Linked DNA regions of Saccharomyces cerevisiae S288C. The gene in region 1 interacts genetically with each later gene. Each region holds a gene or a part of one and is shown on either strand. Other genes may lie near its edges. The genes, in order: GDT1 and VCX1.

The links.
Region 2: mutations in GDT1 (region 1) and VCX1 impair growth when combined (synthetic growth defect), as found in Saccharomyces cerevisiae (one study listed by BioGRID).

Annotation. Positions count from the first base shown.
Region 1 is NC_001134.8:601,113-604,309, forward strand, and holds GDT1 (putative ribosome biosynthesis protein GDT1), read left to right. Parts: upstream 1-1,521; coding exon 1,522-2,364; downstream 2,365-3,197. Other genes in the region: PCH2 (Pch2p), read left to right, coding at 1-991, 1,105-1,248; NTC20 (Ntc20p), read right to left, coding at 2,573-2,995. UniProt on the Saccharomyces cerevisiae protein: Divalent cation:proton antiporter that exchanges calcium or manganese ions for protons across the Golgi membrane.
Region 2 is NC_001136.10:230,554-234,499, forward strand, and holds VCX1 (Vcx1p), read left to right. Parts: upstream 1-2,098; coding exon 2,099-3,334; downstream 3,335-3,946. Other genes in the region: YDL129W (uncharacterized protein), read left to right, coding at 471-1,346.

The DNA.
Region 1 (3,197 bases):
ATATCCCTTTTGCTGTCTGGAAGAGCAAGATGAGCTGAAAAATGGCAGCATACTGTCCACAGAGTTCGACAAGATTGACTTAGAACTAGACGAGGATGATGGTTTTGAGGGAGAAACTTTAAACAATTGTATCAATTCGGTGGGAAATTTTGACATTCCACTAAGTAAGCAAACACTAAACTTAGTAAATATATCATATCTTCCAGGCACAACTTTCGAGGGCCAATGGGAATCGTTGTATTTTGGTAACAATATTAAAGAAAGGTTATATAGCTACGCAACTATATCTCTCAAGATAGCAAGATTCAAACAAACTGGAGACTCCAATCAAGAAGACATTACAACGCTAATCACAAATAATAAATTACTCCTTGTCCATGGTCCTCCGGGAACAGGTAAAACAACGTTATGCAAAGCACTTTGCCAAAAATTATCTGTGAGGCGGGAATTTTCAGACGGTTCCGATACCATTGATACTAATTATAAGGGGATAATAATAGAATTGTCTTGTGCACGCATCTTTTCTAAATGGTTTGGAGAATCGTCAAAAAATATATCAATAGTATTCAAAGACATTGAGGAGCTTTTAAAGGTCAATGAGGGACGAGGGATCTTTATATGCCTTTTGATAGATGAGGTTGAAGCAATAGCAAGTTCAAGAACAAATTTGTCAAGTAGAAATGAGTCAACAGATGGAATCCGAGTTGTGAACACTTTACTTACGCAACTTGACAGGCTGAAAAAATACCATAACTTTTTAGCATTAGCCACGTCTAATTTATTAGATTCATTAGATGATGCTTTTGTTGATCGAGCAGATGGAGTTTTTTATGTTGGAAATCCAACAGCTGAGGGCATCCTCCACATTCTAAAGGTTTGCATAGAGGAGATGATAACTTCAGGTATAATTCTTTTTCACGCAAGATCAACTGGAGTCAAGTTCTTCAATAAATATCAGGACATTTTGCGGAAAATTGCTATCAAATGCTCGGTATGTTTTTTTCTTTTATTCTACTTTTACGATTCTTTTTCTTTCTTTCCTTCTTCATAAAAAAGCACTTTCACTAACTGTCTTTGTCAAACATAAATATGCGATCAATATAGACCGTTGATATCAGTGGTAGAACAATAAGGAAATTGCCCTTGATGTGTCTGTCTGAATACTTCCGGACATTTCCTGTAGACGACGATGAGTTTGTTCTGGCATTAGCTATGTCAGCGCGGAAGCTGAGCGCAGCGCGGAAGTGACGGAGGAGCTTTTTCCTTTTTTTCGCTTCTTTCTTTTGTCTCATACTCATGTAGCATACTTTCGCGAACCCTATTCCAACGTTTTGTTGTTGCTCGCTTTCATGCTTAAAATTTTTATTATGTATTTTACGATCAAGGTGTATCGTGAACCACACGTTTATGAAATCCTTATTTTAGAATCAAAAAGTCCTACAATCTTGTTTGTGGAGTCTATATAAAGCTAAAGTTAGGTTCTACAAAGCAAGATACAAATACGAGGCCATCGAGTATTCAATGGGAAATATGATAAAGAAGGCATCTTTAATAGCCCTCCTACCGCTGTTCACCGCCGCAGCCGCTGCAGCTACTGATGCGGAGACATCTATGGAATCTGGGAGTTCTTCACATTTGAAGTCTTTTTTAATGTCCGTTTCTATGATTGGGCTTTCTGAAATTGGTGACAAAACCTTCTTGATCGCAGCCTTGATGGCAATGCGTCACAAAAGAGTTCTGGTGTTCTCAGCAGCAGCTACCTCCCTCGCTATTATGACCATCCTTTCTGGTGTGGTGGGTCATTCAGCCGTTGCTTTTCTTTCTGAACGCTATACAGCATTTTTTGCAGGTATTTTATTCTTAGTGTTCGGTTACAAATTGACTATGGAAGGTTTGGAGATGTCTAAGGATGCAGGTGTTGAGGAGGAAATGGCTGAAGTGGAGGAAGAAATTGCCATTAAAGACATGAACCAGGATATGGATGATGTTGAAAAAGGAGGCGACACTGCGTATGATAAACAGCTGAAGAACGCTTCGATTGGTAAAAAAATAGTGCACAGGATTCGCGAATTAGCATCATTTATGTTTTCCCCAGTTTGGGTTCAAATTTTCCTGATGGTTTTCCTAGGCGAGCTAGGTGACCGTTCACAAATTAGTATTATTGCCATGGCTACTGACAGCGACTATTGGTATGTTATTGCAGGTGCTGTTATTGGTCATGCCATTTGCTCTGGATTAGCAGTGGTGGGTGGGAAATTATTGGCAACAAGAATTAGCATAAGAACAATCACTCTTGCTAGCTCGTTGTTATTCTTCATTTTCGCCTTGATGTATATATATCAAGCATTCACAACTCAGGATTGAGATGGTTTGTAACCGTATTCTTCTTGGATTCTCTCTTTTTTCTCTTCATATTTAAGTGTGAATCTTGAAAAGAATATTTATAGACATACGTAACTAGTGTACGGCTGATATTTATTTGATGTAGCTTTTTTTTTTGCTAAGTTCATCGCTTTTCTTTCCCAGCCAACCCAATGAAGTCTTGCGCACGCAATTGGTTGTAATTATCCGATCAGCCGCTATCATCATTGTCACGGTCGGGTTCCTGTAATACCCTTTTCCTTATTATTCCCTTAATTTTTTCATTCGTTTTCTTCTCGAGCACTTCCATAATAGGCGCTAATTTGGCTTTGAGATCGCTGGTTTCGCAAACCTTATCGATGTAACGCTGATGTTCGTTTTTTTGGGGGATAATATATGGCTGACCACTCTCTTTTTGTTTCGTCTTCTGAATAGTTTCTTGTACAAAACTATTCGTTGCGTTAGAGCTCTGTCCTGTTTGAATCACCGTGTCATATACAGGTTCATTTGAAATATTTAAACCAACAAAATCATTGGCTTCTTCTTTGCCTGTTTTGCCCAGCTGGTTGATACGGGCACGTAACTGATTTAATTCTTGGTCCCTTTCTAGTGATAAATCTCGCAGAGAGGGCATACTGGTTGTAAAAAGTAGTCGCAACAAGTAAGTCGTAAAAAAGTAGATGTAATGGAAGGCTTTGAAGGAACGGCTAGCCAGCTTTTCTGTATCATTCCTAGCCTAATTGACAGCATCTTGACCTTCTAGTATGGAAACTTTCAATTTCAGAAAGCGGTGTTCCCCGCTGCGACGATTTAATCCGTACATTTACACATCTGTA
Region 2 (3,946 bases), on another chromosome or scaffold:
CAACGTTTTTTTACCCTTTATGTATATATATTTACATATAAAATAAACCTCTAATCAATCAGTATTTAAAAATCGGAAGTAATGTCCATACGAAAGGGCTACGAGAATTTAACCATCTCGTTCTTTGCTAGAAATGGCACTGCGGGATAGCCCCTGGTTGCGGGATATCAGACCTGTCGTCACCATAGCAACCAAAAATTACATAAACCCATGGTTGCTCGCCCTTTGATGGCGACGCCGACCGAAGCTTCTCCCGCGCACATTTTTAAAATTTTTACTCATCGGGAATGAAAGGTTCTTTGACACATGTAAAGCTCCCTAAGTTGGACATACGTCGGTCCTTACAGGCTTAGCAATACACCTATAAGGCACTAGAAACGTATAAAATTTGAGCACTTTAGTTTCTCATCCCTTTTGATACGAAACGCGGGCAAGGCTACGGCATACAGGAATTTAACATTTTGTTGGCTATGGAGCTAAGAAGTAGACGGAGCGCAGAGGCCTATCTTGTCACGCCTGAGGAACCTGCCAAGAATAAGAGTGAACGGAGCATAGAATCCAATGAGAGGGTCGGCACGAGGGAAGCAAAGAGCGAGAACACAAGTGTATTTAGTCCCGCTTACTCTGATACCGCTACTACAGATTCATCGAAGAAAGTTGATGACAATGAATACTACAATTTTACTAGTCACTTCATGCCATCTTTGAAAAACACCAGAGAACTAGAAAACACAATTCTCAATCTCATACAGAGGATAAAGGAAGGGGATGATGAAACGTTAGTTAGTGAGAAAGATCTCATATTAAGTGTGCTTAACAGGTCTTTAGCATCCACATCTCACTGGAAGTTACAGGCCCAGCTATCGGAGTTAAGGGCCACCTCAGAGGGAAGGTATGCAGTTGAGACAAACTTGTTGAAAAAAGAGGTAGAATTTTTAAAAAACAAGACCCCAAAAACCAACGAAAGTGCAAGTTCCGCAGAGTTGAGACCACTTCTTGAACGACCTTTAAAGCGTAAACTGTCATTGCCAGGACTAGCGCAAAGACCATTATCCACTGGCGCTAGGCTAGAAGGAGGATATGGAGGTGTATCGCCGAACTCATGGAAAACCAAAGTTCCAAAACTTCCTCTTCCTGCTTCCCGGCCGTCTTTGAATCTTTCTCCCCAAAAAGTCCCAACGGGTACTGATAAAGTTGAGGAAGATACCAAAATTGACACATTGGAATTAGTAGAGAACAATAAACCGCATCCAAGGATGAGAAGAAGGAGTGACAATCCAGCAACAAACGAATATGTGAGAGTTTTTCATTTGGAGAAAAAAGAACCTAAATCACGAAAAAAATAGTATGCTAGAAAAAAATATTATTGAACGTCAATAATTTTTCTTTCTCATGGGACCAAACACATCATTTATTCTCTAATAATATTCTATTCTCTTTATTTCTGGTTTACTCTTTTAAAATTCTCCAAAGAGAAATATCTCCTTCAATTCTTCAGTTACGAATTTATGTTTACTTTTAACCTCTATCATACACCTTTAATCTAATGCCTCCAACTGTCTGTAATTTTAGTACAACTTAAAAGGGAAATTTTCCGAAAGTGTGAAAAAATTGGATTTTTTTTTCTCCTATTGAACTCAATGGAAGCTATCAGTTTGGAGAGGGACAATTATTTTCCTTCTTGTTTTTTGCCAAGAGAACAATATTGTAGTATTTAAGTTCTAATTTAATGTTATATATACTTATCTAATAGTTTTTTTTTTTCAATTAGATTGTTTTCCTTACGACGTTAATCCCTTGTCATCCTCACTTACGAACTTCGATGAATATGACATACGTAATCGGGAATGTTTTGTAAACTAATTGACGTAGTTCCTTTTTCGTAAACTGGACTGGACGGCTTGATCAAAATTCCCGAAAAATAAAAATTTCCCTCACGAGAATATGGAAATTACTATCGCCCAGCATTATTTTATCTCCTCAGAGAGTAAAAGAAGTTTCCTCTTTCCTAAACTTAAAAAGCAGTCCTAAATATATAGTTGACTTCGACGCATATCATTCATCGGCTGCTGATAGCAAATAAAACAACATAGATACAATGGATGCAACTACCCCACTATTAACTGTTGCGAACAGTCATCCCGCCCGCAATCCAAAGCACACTGCATGGAGAGCAGCTGTGTATGATTTACAGTATATTTTGAAAGCGTCACCCCTGAATTTCCTATTGGTATTTGTTCCTTTAGGTCTGATTTGGGGACACTTCCAACTATCTCATACACTGACATTTCTTTTTAATTTCTTGGCAATTATACCGTTGGCAGCTATCTTGGCTAATGCCACGGAAGAGTTGGCTGATAAGGCTGGTAACACCATTGGGGGACTGCTAAATGCTACTTTTGGTAACGCTGTGGAACTAATTGTTTCTATCATTGCCCTGAAAAAAGGTCAAGTGAGAATTGTGCAGGCCTCGATGCTAGGTAGTCTTCTTTCTAATTTGCTGTTAGTGCTTGGATTATGCTTCATATTCGGTGGATACAATAGAGTCCAACAGACATTCAACCAAACCGCCGCTCAAACAATGTCCTCATTACTTGCCATTGCGTGTGCATCCCTACTGATTCCCGCTGCCTTTAGAGCCACCCTACCTCATGGCAAGGAAGACCACTTCATCGATGGAAAAATATTGGAGTTATCCAGAGGCACCTCTATTGTTATTCTCATCGTTTACGTTTTGTTCTTATATTTCCAGCTAGGGAGCCATCACGCCTTGTTTGAGCAACAAGAAGAAGAGACCGATGAAGTTATGAGCACCATTTCCAGGAATCCACATCACTCTTTGAGTGTCAAGTCATCATTGGTGATACTTCTAGGTACAACTGTGATCATCTCTTTTTGTGCGGATTTTCTAGTCGGTACGATAGACAACGTTGTTGAATCTACCGGGCTATCTAAAACATTTATAGGTTTGATTGTCATTCCTATTGTGGGTAATGCCGCAGAGCATGTCACTTCAGTCTTGGTGGCCATGAAGGATAAGATGGATCTGGCGCTAGGTGTTGCCATCGGTTCCTCTTTACAAGTTGCCTTATTTGTTACACCATTCATGGTTCTTGTGGGCTGGATGATCGATGTTCCAATGACGCTAAATTTCTCCACTTTTGAAACCGCTACTCTTTTTATTGCTGTTTTCTTATCCAATTACTTAATTCTCGATGGTGAGTCAAACTGGTTGGAGGGTGTCATGTCTCTAGCTATGTATATTTTGATTGCAATGGCATTTTTCTATTATCCAGACGAAAAAACCCTTGACTCTATTGGAAATAGTTTATGAGTAAGAACAGTAGCGCAGAAATTCACCATTCTCTTTTTTTTTATATTTTATCTTCTTCGTAATTCTATCGATGGACCAATACAAAGATGATTATGACTAGCAAGTCATTATTATGATCGTTATATTATACATATTATGTTTACGCAACTAATTTTTATATCGAATTTTATCTGAAAAAAAGTTTTCAAAACCAACAAAATATTTTGTACACTCTTCGAAACTCAAATTCTGCACCATTTCCATTCTGATAAAAGGTTTAATATTTCGAAGCTTCTCAACTACAGCTCGTGTTCTTCTTGCAGCACATCAGCTGCTTTGCTGCACTGTTCAGGGTAACGTTATTCATTACAACGAGAATATTTAGGAATTTTGCTCAAATTCATGGAGCTTCCTACATCATTGCACAACAGAATTTCGTTTTGTAGTATAGTTTATTAGAAACAAATGTGAATAGATCATGAGACGCGAAGCCCTATTTTAGCGGATTTTAGCCTTACATTTCTGAGTGAGAATGCCAGCTGAAACACATTCTTGTTACATCTGTCACGGCATTCCAGCTGTAAAAAACCAGCAGATATCGCATAAAAAAATGGCCAGCTATAGAATAAAATT